Linked DNA regions of Astyanax mexicanus. The protein of the gene in region 1 purifies or fractionates together with the protein of each later gene. This does not show direct contact. Links are inferred from orthologs where the notes say so. Each region holds a gene or a part of one and is shown in the gene's direction. Other genes may lie near its edges.

Region 1 (7,859 bases):
TGAATTTGGTTTTCAAGATTGTGATTTAGAATTTATTTTGTTATTCTTAATAAATGCCAATACATTTGAAATACAGCCCAATTTATCAGTCTTACCTGAAGCTTGTGCGTCCGCCTCTGTAACTGGAACCTTGTGAATTTTTCCAGCTTGGTACACAAAGCTGCCCTCCACCACCTTAAAATCCATATAGCGCGTCACCTCCGTATACAGCAGCATCTTCACCATCTGCCCTGTAACACGTTACAGCATGACTTCATTCCATAAACAATCAAAAACACATTCAAAGTTATTTGTCTTAAAAAGGATTTTAGGAGCATGAAACTGCTGCTAGTCAGTTTTTACAGTTTTTACAGATTTTACTCACCGTTGGACATCATAAATTTAGGAACTAGATCGATGGTCCATTCTTTGCCCTGCCCCATTCCTTTAGGAGGCCCCGGCACATGAAACCTCTTATACACCTGTTTAACAAACATGAATAAAGTAAACATAACACATTTTGTAAATATATTCTGATATTGTAAGCTAATGCTAATACTGGCAATGACATTAGAATATTGTGTGTGTGTGTGTACAGACCTCTTCCAGGGGTGATAAAGATGCGCATTCTCCTCCATAATGTGGATTCTGGTCAATGTGAAGAACCTTTTTCCCACAGATAGACAGAAGGCCTGAGAGGATGCACTCCTGTAGAGGAAACATGGTCAAAAAGTGCCTTAAAAGCTCTATACCAGAGATCTGACACTGACAAATTTTAAATAAATCAATAAAACTCTACAGTTTTCTATTTCAAAAATTGTGTGGATGGCCTTAATGTTGCAAAACTAACCCAGATAGCAAGTTACATTGGCATGACATTGGCAGATCATGTTAAAAGAACATATTTTTTTGTCGGTGGCCCTACATTGTTTGACATTGGGCCTACATTGGTCTGAAGTTGGGTAACGAACAATGTTTGACATTAAGCCTACATTGGCCTGAATTTGGGTGCCAACCGATGTTTGATGTTGGGTCTACATCGGCCTGATGTTGGGCACAACCAATGTTTAACATTTGGCCTACGTTGGCCTGATGTTGGGCACCAACCGAAGTTTACCATTGGGCCTACGTTGGCCTGATGTTGGGTGCCAACCAGTGTTTGACCTTGGGTTTACATTTGCCTGATGTTGGGTGCCAACTGATGTTTGATGGTGGGTCTACATCGGCCTGAAGTTGGGTGCCAACCGATGTTTGACTTTGGGCCTACATTGGCCTGAAGTTGGGTGCCAACCGATGTTTGATTTTAAGTCTTTGTTGGTATGAATTTGGGTAACAACCGATGTTTGTCATTGGGCCTACATTGGCCTGAAGTTGGGTGCCAACCGATGTTTGATTTTAAGTCTTTGTTGGTATGAATTTGGGTAACAACCAATGTTTGACGTTGGGCCTATGTTGGCCTGAAGTTGGGTAACGAACAATGTTTGATTTTGATCCTATGTTGGAATGAATTTGGGTAGCGATGAGGTTTGTCATTGGGCCTACATGGTCCTGATTGGCATTGATGTTTGACTTTGAGCCTACATTGGCCTGAAGTTGGATACCAACCATTGTTTGATGTCGGGTCTACGTTGGCCTGAAGTTGGGTACCAACCGATGTTTGACGCTTGGCCTATGTTGGCCTGGTGATAGCTGTGTAACAGTTTACAACATTGGAAAATGTCTAAAAGCACCCAAAATTGTGTAATTGGTGATGTATAATGAGTAGGAAAGCATATTAAGCTTAGAAAGACAGTTTGTAAAACTCAACAAATGTCTATTGTCTTCTTTATTAAGTGTAGGTCTTCCTTATATACTGTAAATAAAAGTCAATAAATGTATAGCTTTTATACAAGCTGTGATGACGTGATAAATGTCCAATCTTAGTTTAGGGTGAAAGGAAGCAACCCAGTGGAATTATGTCCACATTAGGCTAATTCATGCATTATTAGCTTCAGTTCTTAAGTTTTAGCTCTCTGAGTTTTAAACCAGTCTTAAGGGTTTGTTTATTTAAATAAAAAATAACTTTATTGTATACAAGTTTAATGTACACAGCTTCCAGTATAATAAATGAATAATGAATATATATTAAATAGCTCTAAACAGCAGCTCATTATTCCCAGCATCTTGTCTGCTGCGGTGAGTGTAGAGGATTAGAGCTAATCCCACAAACCGCTCAGCACTACTGCTTCATTATAACCTGCGCCAACTTTAATAAGACGCTTTCATTTACTGTCTACTGCATGGTAATATATTTATTTATTATTTTATAAAATAACGCAGAATTAAGTTTCACAGGCTTATGCAGAGGTGTGTTGTAATTATGTGTTTTATTGATTTACTACAATTTTCATTTATTTGCACATTTAATTTTAATTTTAATCAATGTCTAAATAAATAAATTTGTTATCTTTCTAAAGCTTGTGCCTTATTTATCCCTTAGCAAATGACTGTATATGGCTGAACTACACTAATACACTTATAATTATAGCCTATAAAACCATGTAAAATGAAAATATATAGGGAAGATAACAACTGTATGTAAAATTATATGCACTGCATAAAGTGCTCTCTTCATTTCTACACTGTTGTGGTAAATAATTATTATATTATTATTTATATTATTATGTTAGAACTAAATACTTTAATCTAAAATCTATAATCATCATACTAATTAATAAATAAGATTATTTTCAGTATATGTTTGAATAATGTAATCAAATTTAGAGCTAAAACACTCTTTATAACTTCAGCATCAGTGGGTGGATCTAAACTACTGTAAGCGGAAGGTGGCCCAATACAAATGCTTTAAATTTTGAAATCATGTTAACATAACATTATGCAGAGCATTTTTATTGGTTGATTTCAACAGCAGGTGGAGGTTTTAAAAAGTGTAAAATAAAATATGATATTAATATGTTGAACATATTGTTGAAATTATTAATATGTTAGAAGTTAAGAGGTAATTTTTTTAACCCTATGTGGCCTACTATATGTGAGCTGATCAGTCTATAAAACATTCAGTAGACCATCAGGAGGATCAGTCTTACCTTCAGCCCAGTTCCCACCACAACAACGTCAAACTCTGCCATCCTGTATCCCCGGCTCTGGGTTTCTGATGGACGGAACTGATGGTACAGCTGGTCTGACTGTGTGAATGTGTGAGTTTATACCTACGTCACCTTCTTCAGCTTCAGACGCGTAATATTACATGATCCTTTAAGACATAATCCTCTCAGAGTCCAGTGAGAGATAGATAGAGGAGCCCTCAGTGAACTGATGTGGTCATTTATAATGATTCTGGAGCAGCTGACCTGTGACAGATACTAAATGTACAGATACTAAATATATAGTGGCGTGAAAAAGTATTTACCCCCTTAAAGATTTCTTTTGTATTTGGATTTTTTGTCATACTTACATTTTTCTGATTATTATACTGTCAGACCTGAAGAATCAAGAACTGTCAACACTTAAATAAAACCTGTCTGACAACATGTAGCAGATAAAAGATCTCAAAAAGCATCATATTATGCCCAAATCTCAAAAAATTCAAAAACAGATGAAAAAAAAGGTTATTGATCATTTATCAGTCTGGAAAAGGAGCAATTATTCACTAATTGAGAAAATATGGAACACTGGTGAACCTTCCCAGGAGTGACAGGCCGACCAAAATTACTCCAAAAGGGCATGAACAACTCATCCAAGAGGTCCCAAAAAACCCAGAACAACATTTAAAGAACTGCAGGTCTCACTCGCCTCAGTTAAGGTCAGGGTTAATATATATATAGAATAAAAAATAAGTGGTGATGAGTTATATGAAATATAACTAACTTTTAAAAAATGACTCCACTGCAATAAACAGCCAAAATACAATATTAATTCATGTGTTTTTGAGTGCATTACAGTTAGAAAAATAGCATTTTTATATATTATTTTTATCACTAGAAAACAAGTCAGGTCTAAAAGGGTTAATAAATAAGAATTTCGTTTAAAAATAACTTTTTATATTTACTCATCCTATACTTGTCTAGTATTAAAGTTGTCTGATATTAAAATAAAAAAGCAAAAACAAAAGAAATGTGTACGCCACTGTACATGTTTAAAATTACTTTTATTTTTATACTTTAAGTATTTTTAAAACAAGAATTTGTACATTTTTACTTAAAGAGTATCTACACTTCCACCTACAGAGTAAATGCTTTCACGGTGCTGTAAAACTACATTTCCCAGCAGGCTTAGTGCTCAGCCAAGCGACTTTCGTTCATTCAACGCGTCGAAAACACAGCCGGTCTGAGTTTATTCCACTTTCACAGAAACAGCGCGCTTACAGCTGCAGAATCCGGATTTAATCTGATTTAAACCGGTTTATATGAAGAGTAATCGGACCTGTGGAGGATCAGAAGCTGAGATCTGACTTTCTGCTCTGAAGTTCCTCTTCCTCCATCAGACTTCAGGCTCTGGGTGTTCCTCCCCAAAACACCATGTCCGTCCCAGTAAGTCACTGATTACCATTATAACTACTGTACTGTACTATACTATACTATACTATACTATACTACTGCTATACTATACTACAGCTATACTATACTATACTACTGCTATACTATACTACTGCTATAATATACTACTACTATACTATACTATACTACTGCTATAATATACTACTACTATACTATACTATACTATACTACTGCTATAATATACTACTACTATACTATACTATACTACTGCTATAATATACTACTACTATACTATACTATACTACTGCTATACTATACTACTGCTAAACTATACTACTACTATACTATACTACTGCTATACTATACTACTGCTATACTATACTACTACTATACTATACTACTGCTATACTATACTACTATACTTATACTATACTACTACTATACTATACTACTGCTATACTATACTACTATACTTATACTATACTACTACTATACTATACTACTATACTATACTACTACTATACTACTGCTATACTATACTACTATACTTATACTATACTACTACTATACTATACTACTATACTATACTACTACTATACTACTGCTATACTATACTACTACTATACTATACTACTATACTATACTACTACTACTATACTATACTACTGCTATACTATAATATACTACTACTATACTTATACTATACTACTATATTATACTACCACTATACTGTACTGTACTATACTGTACTGCAATAAACTGTACTGCACTATACACTTTGGAAAAAAAAATAAGAGACCACCTAAAAATGACGAGTTTCTTTAATTTTACAAAATTTAAAACCTCTGGAATATAATCAAGAGGAAGATGGATGATCACAAGCCATCAAACCACCAAACTGAACTGCTTAAATTTTTGCACCAGGAGTAAAGCAGCATAAAGTTATCCAAAAGCAGTGTGTAAGACTGGTGGAGGAGAACATGATGCCAAGATGCATGGAAACTGTGATTAAAAACCACCAGGGTTATTCCACCAAATATTGATTTCTGAACTCTTAAAATTTTATAATTGTAAACGTGTTTTCTTTGCATTTCAGCTGTTTCCCATTTTCTGCAAATAAATGCTCTAAATGACAATATTATTATTAAAAATTTTCGAGAAAAGTTGTCTGTAGTTTATAGAATAAAACAACAATGTTTATTTTACTTAAACATATATCTATAAATAGCAAAGAAGAAAATGTAGGAAATATAAATTAAGCAATAAAGCAAAACACTGAAAGTGTGTACACGTACAGGACCAGGCCTGGTACATTTATATTATGTATGAAGAATAGCACTTTTGGAGCACATCTGATTGGTACTATCCACTGCATACCATACTCTACAAGACCTGCCTAATTAGGGCTCCAGGCTAACATCATGCCATCATCCCAGGAACAATACACATTTTGCTTGGTGTTTTGCCATGTTAGTCAACTGCGGAGCTTCAAAAGTGGCATTGTTACAGAGAGAAACAGCACCACTCAATTTTGTCATTTCCTTCTGGGTTCAATCCTGTTTTTTTAGATATCTTGTGCTTGGGGAAATGACTTTGGGAGAAAAAACACATTTGTAAGATGCTTTGTTTATTGTGTATTGTGTACACATGTGATTCACAACACACTGCTGTATTGTCCTTGTATTAATGCACCAATTCTGGATGCAGTGACTGCAGTGACTAATGTTTGTGTGTGTGTGTGTGTGTGTGTGTTAGTTTGCAGGAGTAGAGGGTCGGGATCAGCACTCCCGTGTACACACCCGACCCAACCCTGGCTTTCTGGAGCGTCTGGGGGAAACCATGGGGGGGATGCTGGTGGGAGTCTGCCTGTTCATCTTCTCCTTCTACGTGCTGTTTACTAATGAGGTCAGAGACCAAATCTTACCTTCATTTACACAGAATTAATTCATTAATCAGTTTAGAAGAGTGAAAATGAGAACTTGTACATATAATTTTTTTAATAATGGTGAAATAATTTTAAACACATTTGAATATGTATCAGAACCCTCCTGAGGGCTGCATTAAGATGATAAATTCCTGGAGGTGTTCTGACTGTCATAACTAAAGACCAGAGTAATGTTCAAACATCATCCACAGAACCTACTAATCTAACCAGCACAGATCTTTCTATCTGTTATCAAACATCAGCCATTAATTCAGTTTGTAAAACACTTAGCAGTTAAGCTACTCTGCCATTTTGGGCTTCATAATAAAAGCCCCTATGCCAGCTCATGTTAATAAAAAGATGTATACTGAAAACTGGGAAGGTTATAGTTTTTTATTTAAAAACTTTAATTTATAAACAAATATCTATTCTTTAATCATTTTAGCAGGGCTTGTATATTCTTTATTACATAACAACACATTTTAGCTGTTAATGTAAAAAAAATAAATAAATCTATCCGGACGGGATTAGTTTCTTAGTTTCTCACACTCCTATTCAGGGATAAAACTTGTGCATCTGGACTGCAATTGGAAAACAGGAGGACCAATGAGGTTTTAGGCTCTCGGTCATGTGACCTCACGTTCAGTAGCTCCTCCATTTCCACTCGCTGTTGTGTTTACATGGACGTCTGAAAAAAGCACATATATGGTCGTTCTGGATGGGAATAAAATCACAGAGGACCCCCATAAAAGAGAAAATTACCCCAGAACCCCCTGTTCCTCCTCCAACAGGGCCGGGCCATTCGTACAGCTACTTCTCTTGACGAGGGTCTCTCTCAGGTCCTCTCTCTGCACCCTGACATGTACTTGGACCCCCAAAACAATAATCGGCTTGTTCACCTGTCCAGCCCACTGCGCACCTCTCAGGTAACAACTCATAATAGTGAGGAGATACGCCTGTTCACCACTGGCCTTTTCACTGTGGTGTTTCACTTATTGCTACTTTAACTTAAAACTCTCTCTCTCTCTCTCTCTCACTCTCTCACTTTCTTTAGCCTCTCTATGAGCCGAACTATAAGGTGGCGGTTCAGGCGGTGAAGCTGAAGAGGAATGTGGAGATGTATCAGTGGGTGGAGTATCAGGAGTCACGGTATGTAAAACAGATTAAAGCTTTGCTCGACTACGACACACCTAAACCAACCCATTTAAAGGAGACATATTACATAAAACTCACTTTTTGCTAGATTTTTTTTTATTTCCACATGGGTCTCGACTGCCCCTATAAACACTATAAACACTCCAAACACCAAAAAAAAAAAAAAAAATCCATCCATCTGTTTTCTGTGAATTAACTGAAAGAGTTCTCAGGTGTATGGAATCATTTGCTTCAATGAGCCGTTTAGATGCTCCTCCCTTATTGTGATGTCACATTAAGAACACCTGCATAGAACCACCCTGGCT
Region 2 (7,761 bases), on another chromosome or scaffold:
TACAATAAGAGGAGAAATACATAAGTAAAGAGATGAAAAGGAAATAAAATCTATCATATTAAACTAGTTCAGATAAGGGGGAGAGAACCATGTTGACCCATCTAGCAAGTTTCCAGCAACAAGCCACATATCACATTACGCATTCCCTTGACTCAGCCAAAGAAGAGACGCAGACTGAGGAGGAGTTGAGAGTCACTGTGAGAAGCTTAGCCATCAGAAAGCAGCGAGTGAGACATCTGAGATATCTCACATGCCATGTTCCATGAAGTACATTCTGTGGCTACCAAAGCTGCTCTGCAGATTAAATTACACCTATAAACACTTGCTTTGTGAGAGTCTTTATAATAAATTATTACATAAATTATATACAGCCAATCCAAGTGTGCAGTTATTCTGTTTAACTGTCTATATGGCGTGGGCAAGACCCCATTTACACCTTTACAACTTCTTTCATTTTCAGGAATATCAGATTTATACTTGGATGAAGCCTGGCCACGTAAAATACAAAAGGTACTACATAAATTTAGTGCAGTTAAGTAGATTGGCATTAGGCTGTTCAAGTAGGTACAGTATATGCTACAAACTCTATAGTAAAAAGTGTTAGTTTTTGCATAATAATGTTTAACAAAGGGATACTCAAAGTACTGTGCACATGTGCTGTATTGCAGGGAGAGGACACACCATTCTGTCTATCCTATAATATATATTTAGTCAATCATGAATGTAGCACAGGTTTTGGCTGCTGCAAGCTGATGCCACAGCCTAGTCATGTGCCCATCACTGGAATTCTTGGGGATCAGTGTTATAAATGCTAAGATCTCTGGAGGCATCTCTTCCAAACAATATTCTATTATATTACATTTCAAATACACATTAGCATTAGCTTAGTTAGCAGATTAATATTGCTTTCTAAGTCAAGTTCCTGGTAACACTCTGAAGTTAAAACAGGTTTTGTAGCAGCAATGTATAATATAGTTAGTATACATAGTTATTCACAAATATGAGCAAAACCATTTTAAATTTACAGTCCAGCTTAAAAATAAACTCTTCATTTTAATGAAATATTAGCCTGAATACTGAAATGAGTGTAGTACTATTAGGAAACCTCTGCTAATATATTTTGAGACTGTCAACAGACATGTATGATTGCATGTGAGTTTTAAGTTCATTGTAGTCCACATAATTGACACTACTTTCCTGTTCACGATAATAGGGGTGGGCAGTATGGGCAATATTTTATTATATTGCGAAAACTTTGTTACACAAAATGCTTTTCTGAAATGATTGGCTCAATTTGATCGGATACTGTCAGTGCTTAAAGAACTAGCATTTTTATAACAACCTGTAATCAGATCTGTCATGCCTTTTTTTCTATTGTCATGTGTATCATGATAAATATTGTATATCTTGAAAATGTTTTATATATATATATATGTATATATATATATGTATATATATATACATATATATATATATATATATTTCTAGCAAAAGGCCCACATATAAATTACAGACTGATGTACCATAAAAGTTACATTTACGTACCTTGCTAAGTCAGTTTGAATAAGAATGTAAATGTGAGCCAGGCAATCATGAGAATCAGTACATATATTGCACCATGCTGCTACTTATAAATGTAGTTTGCATTTGAGGAAATCAAGATATTTTGAAAAAAAAAAAAAAAAAAACTCAGTGGTGATGAGACCATACATTTATGAATCCATGTACCAGGCCACAAAGAATACAGATAAGTCAGTAGTTACTTTAAAGTAGTTTATCCAGATGTGAAGTCTGATTAATCAATGCTGCACCAGATTTGATATAAAATTGCTGTCCACAGAAAGGTATTTCTCTACAACACACACGTCAGTTGTGTGACTCATAATCTGAGCTGCTTCTTGGCCAGAGCTGAATGTCTGCGTTGGTGGCGCACCGTACAAGCAGCACAACTGATTCTGACAGGCAGGGGGGCTGTTTGTGATTTTCTGTTTTTAGACATTCTGCTTCCTGACAAAAGAGTCTGAAGAAGCGTGTACTGTAGTCTACATTTAGTAGTGCCTCTGCATTACAGAAACCCATTTGAGATGTGTCTGTCTCTCAGGAGTCTTCACTATATGCCTGCCTGACAATAGAGAACACATACTGTCACCTCAGACCATATTAGTACTGCTTACTTAGCAATTATATAGTGTACACAAAACAAAACTGTATTGTTTATTTATTGTTTGTTTTAAGTGTTGCCAGGGTACATAAAAATGCTTCTACAACTCCTGCATAACCTTACTGATAATGTTTGGGTCTCCTATACAGTTGCAATCTGAATCTAAAAAATATGATTTGTCTTGTTTAGTTTAGCTTTTGGTCATTTATGTTCCCACTAAAATAAAGGCTGTAGATCCAGAGGTTTACAGGCATAGGGAATTGTAGTAAACTGAGATGTTAGTGTTGTCCTGCCACTTGGATGTTTTAAATGATTTTCACACACTGAAGCAGATTAATGCCAGTTTTTCAGGGTGCTTGTGTCTGTATTAGCTTCTCTCCTTCTAGTTATATAACAATGCTATTGTAGTCAGATTTGTTAAAGCAATTAGCCACACTATAACATTCACATTTTCTGCACTTCATAAATTCAAACAGAACTAAATCCATCTCTTCACCATTTTCCAGGTAAATGACATTGATGGAAGTGACCCTAAAACTCTTCAAAAACCCACTTCAGACCAGCTACCCACAGACCAGCTACTGATTCTTTACTATTTGCTTAACCATTACTATGTTGAAGTTTACATGGATTCTAGCAATCTGATATTATAATTACCTACATGAACCATTATCATTACTTTTACTTAGGCAGGTTGCCAGGTTGAGTACACTGAGCCTACATAAAAGAGCGCAGGCCGAGTTCAATAACTTTTTTGCAATGGCAAGCAATGATGAATCATAACTAAGTACAGTAAGTTAATCAGATGCTTTATACATTTGCAATGTTTTTATTGTGAGCATATTATAATCCAACTTGTGTGGATTTTATATAATTATGTCAACTATTAGCCATCTTGTAGCACCCCTGGCAGCAATAACCACAGATATGTATGTTCTTTTAAAAACAAACCCCACAGAAAATATATACACTTTGGAGTTGAAGTTACTTGAGTTTACAGATCTTGATAGCATACATAGCTCAGTACTTACCATTTAAGTAGAGTGTTTTTTTTGGTTGCATAGCATATAATAATGCTGTTCACTCGCTGGCTTCCATGGCTGCAGCACACTTTGTTTGCCTGCCAATGTGTTTCGTACCTGGCAACCCGGGGTATGGAAAGAGGACTGGGGAATGGGCAGTGGCTGGTATCAGAGTCTAAAACACATACAAATTTAAATTAGAAAACATACTGGCTGAAGCACTGCTGTCAAGAGTAGGAGTGTGCCATAAGGTATTGTAGGCAATAGTATCGCCAAATCTTTTGAATGTCCTTATAGCTAAAGTGCACTGTAACATTGTTCTATTATTTTAGGACCATAAGGGCTGTCAGGGTCCAACTTTTTTGCTGTTAGTTACAAAAGGATGAGATGAGATGCGACCTTTTTTTGTGTCATTTTGTTTTTGGCTAAGCAGTGTATCTCTTCAGTATCATTTATTTTACTTCATTTCTGCACATATGGAGTGTATTAATAGTATCAATTAAAATTAAATATTAAATATTATTGTTGCAATTATTATTTTTTTAATTCAATGTTTTGTCATATCGCCAAGAAAATCGTTTTTGCAAAAATACCATGAAATATTCTGATATAATTTTAAATTATAAAAAAAATAATAAAATATATATTAAAATAGTTCTCAATAAAGACATAAATGATCATAATTGTTTTTATTCGTTTTAGGCACATTATATTTGTCAATACTCTTGACTTGAATGAGGATCATATCACATTTTATGACAAATGTATGCAGAAAACCATGAAATTACCAAATACTTGCCACTGTATTCAGAACCGCAGCAACCTGTAGAATCTCTCTTTCAGCAGCTGCTCGAGCCCACATTTGTATTAGAAACTAATTATTGTTTTTAATTGCAAACAAGAGAGAACTTTGTCTTTTCCCTCATTACAAACTCGCTGGTTCATTTGGGATGCAGTGCTAATTAGTACACAAACACTCAGAGCCCCTGAGTTTAAATCACAGTAGTCATGGTAGAAAAGCCAGAGTGTGGATTATACCATTCACTCGCTCGCGTGGGGGAGACCAGCTCAAATAAACACGAGGAAATGTGACTTTAAACATTTATTTTTTTTCGTTAAAGATTAATAATTTACCTACAGTGGATGTCCATGTTCAATATTAAAGCGTGGTTCTTTTCTGGAGGCTCCAGCTGTGTGTTAAACTGTGTTAAACTCGCTGTAACTTCGGTATATTATGGGCTGTGCTGGGTCTGCATGTCAGTTGCCTCCTGAAGTTGAAGCAGTGCGCGCGCTCCTCATCACCGGAGACCAGAACCATTCACCAGCCCAGACCCCGCCAGGTAATCATTCAATCACATATTAATAACTAACGCTAGTGTGTTCGCGTGCCGGTGTTCTGCCTGTGTTATGCTACCTTGTCAAACCGTGCTGCCCTAGTAGTATATTTAACTTTAAAAATACCAAAAAGAGCATGTTTTCTGTGGAAGTCTTAGTATGTAAATCTTTTGAGAGCATATAGTCTAGATGGAAACAGGGGTCCACGAGCACATAGTGGATTTTTTTTCGCCACCTGTTTTTTCTTAATCTTTAAAGTGTCTATTTTAAGATTCTGACAGGTAACAGGATGAAATAATGTCCCATGACATTTATTTTTAACCCTTTAATGCATCTATGCTAATTCCCAACCGGAAAAAAAATATGAAGAAAATGGCATAGCTCCTTGAGTTAACAACCTATACAGACAAATGAGCACACTTTTCCATACAATTCTGGGCCAAGGAATGTAACGGAATGGTTATTTTTAATTTTTTTCCACATTTTGACTTGATTTTGAGACAAAAATATAAAAAAATAGCAAAAAATTTAAATTTGCCTGTATGTTTTCACATTACACTAAAATCATGTGCATTAAATAAAAACATCTTGGGGTTTTTCTTAATCCTTGAAGTGTCTACTTTAAGATTCTGACAGGTAACAGGACAAAAATGTCCTGTGGGGCTTATTTTTAACCCTTTACTACACCTATCCCAAATCCGAACCTAAAAAAATATGTAGAAATTGGCATAGCTCCTTCAGTTAAAACCTATACAGTCAAATGAGCACACTTTTCCATACAATTCTGGGCCAATGAATTCCATAGAATGATTATTTTGAAGTTTTTTACACGTTTTGCCAAAAAAAAAAAAAATAGCAGAAAATGTTATGGTTGCCTGTATGTTTTTTACATTATACATTATATTCACGTTATTAAAAGTCTACTTTTAGATCCTGACAGGTACCAGGATGAATAATGTAATAAGCTGCAGAACTAATTGATGATAAAATCCAACAATGTACTAAAAATAAAGTATTAGTATAGTGTTGTACTAATAATTTTAATCATCATTATCACCATTGAAGAGATCATCAAAGTCTATCTTTTAAATCTCTGTCCCTTCCTCCTGATCATCTGTCCCCTCTCCAATCAATTCTGTCTCTTCTGCTCTTGCAAAAATGTCAAGAGAAAGAGGGAAGATGGGGCAAACTGACCAGACCGGCTCCAACACCCCCTCTTCCATTGTCTTCTCCCAACCCATACCCTGACCGTAAGGGTTTGGCCTTTCAGATTTTGGCTGATCTGTCCTTTTTTAGTAGGAAACCCTGTAGTTTACTCTGTCTACTTTAAAACTTGCATCCAGGGCTCACCCCATCATCTTTTGCAGCATCTTGGTTCTCACAGCATCAATGGAGGTCAGTTGGCCAATGGACATACATAACATTATCTCCTGTTGGAACTCATTGCTGCCCTGCCACAATGTACCAAGCTGCAGCTTCTTAAAAGAACACTGGTCCAGCATAGTATCCCAGAAAAGTGCTCCATTATTTAGATCCTAGAGCTCCAGCTAGCTCAGAGACATTCACTAGTTTACTATGCAAGCCAGTTCCGGGGTCAAGAAACATGGTAAGGTTAACACTGCTGACATGGTAAAGGAGGTTCAGTAATATGTCAGTGTTCGGGTTCCTCATCACACTGGACTTGTACCCCCACTTTACAGCTTGGTGGAGGTACAGGACAACACGGGTGTCTGTCTCCTCCTGGTTTGACTGCAGGGCGTGGATCTCTGAAGCCTGAACCCTTAAAAAAATGTACAATTTTTAACACATACCTGTATATTGAAGACTCCATTCAAATGTTTTTATAACATTGGATATGTGATGACAGCTAATGTTAAGCCCCACAGGACATTTTTTGTCCTGTTACTTGTCATAATCTTAAAGTTTAAGAAAAAACCCTAGATGTTTTTATTTAATGCACATGATTTTAGTGTAATGTGAAAACATACAGGCAAATTTAAATTTTTTGCTATTTTTTATATTTTTGTCCCAAAATCAAGTCAAAATGTGGAAAAAACTTAAAAATAACCATTCCGTTAAATTCCTTGGCCCAGAATTGTATGGAAAAGTGTGCTCATTTGTCTGTATAGGTTGTTAACTCAAGGAGCTATGCCATTTTCTTCATATTTTTTTCCGGTTGGGAATTAGCATAGATGCATTAAAGGGTTAAAAATAAATGTCATGGGACATTATTTCATCCTGTTACCTGTCAGAATCTTAAAATAGACACTTTAAAGATTAAGAAAAAACAGGTGGCGAAAAAAAATCCACTATGTGATCGTGGACCCCTGTTTCCATCTAGACTAATAAGTATCTGTATCATTGTACAGTTTGTTTAGTTGTAGCAATGAGAGGCCATTACAAATTACTGTATTTTTTAAACAAATTATTGTATTATCGTTAATAATTTTCATTTGCACTTTTGTGCAATGACAGTGAGTCCATGTTGTTTAATGCACAAAAAAAACAGAAAAAAAGATTTATTATATAAAACACGAGAAATAATTAGAAACTGTAGGTCAGCGCATGCGCAGTTCCTTTAGGAAGCACCTATGGATGCGTAGCATAACTCGACGGAACACCGCATGCATGTTTTAGCCACACGTGCTGTATATAGTTATACTACACGGGATTTTGCAAATCTCACAGTTTGAATGGGGAAAGTAGGATCACTTAAAATAAAAAAAATAAAAATGTATATATATAAATATATGTGGCCACGGCTTTTTTAAGGTGTGGGAATAAGATTCTAAGGCGTGGACACAACTTATTAAGGCGTGGGAACGAGATAATTAAGGGTGTGAACAAGATAATTAAGTCGTGGTCACAACTTTTTATGGTGTGGGAAAGAGATAATTCATAGCCAGAGAATAATAAAGCTTGCTTTTCTGTAAATTTTTGCCCATAAAGAAGATACTGAATATCACATCAAAGCTCCAATTCAAGGATACTATTTTGTATATATGAAAATGGAGAGTGAATTGGATTATATTTATTTTTATCTTGGAATAAATTATGGCAATATTTTGGAGTTTCTTGCAGTAAGACATGAATTAATTCTAAGTAAAAGACACTTAATTTGCACTAGGGTTGCAGCGGTAACCGGTTTCACGGTATACCATGGTATTAAAATGCACGGTTATCATACCGTGTGTGTTTGCTTATTACCGGTAAAACGCAAGCCAGCGGAGAAACTCACCCGCG

Evidence for each region.
Region 2: the proteins of transmembrane protein 43 (region 1) and bzw2 purify together in Homo sapiens (affinity purification with mass spectrometry; 3 studies listed by BioGRID and IntAct, counting the BioPlex papers as one, with this or other methods). This does not show direct contact. The link is inferred for Astyanax mexicanus from reciprocal best matches to the Homo sapiens genes TMEM43 and BZW2.

Annotation. Positions count from the first base shown.
Region 1 is NC_064431.1:31,251,146-31,259,004, reverse strand, and holds the start of transmembrane protein 43, read left to right. Parts: upstream 1-4,253; 5' UTR 4,254-4,496; coding exon 4,497-4,508; intron 4,509-6,230; coding exon 6,231-6,380; intron 6,381-7,190; coding exon 7,191-7,325; intron 7,326-7,453; coding exon 7,454-7,548; intron 7,549-7,859. Other genes in the region: zgc:112334 (rab GDP dissociation inhibitor beta), read right to left, coding at 96-230, 365-461, 580-687, 3,066-3,107. UniProt on the Homo sapiens protein: May have an important role in maintaining nuclear envelope structure by organizing protein complexes at the inner nuclear membrane. Required for retaining emerin at the inner nuclear membrane.
Region 2 is NC_064410.1:44,753,339-44,761,099, forward strand, and holds the start of bzw2 (eIF5-mimic protein 1), read left to right. Parts: upstream 1-4,422; 5' UTR 4,423-4,523; intron 4,524-7,761. UniProt on the Homo sapiens protein: Translation initiation regulator which represses non-AUG initiated translation and repeat-associated non-AUG (RAN) initiated translation by acting as a competitive inhibitor of eukaryotic translation initiation factor 5 (EIF5) function.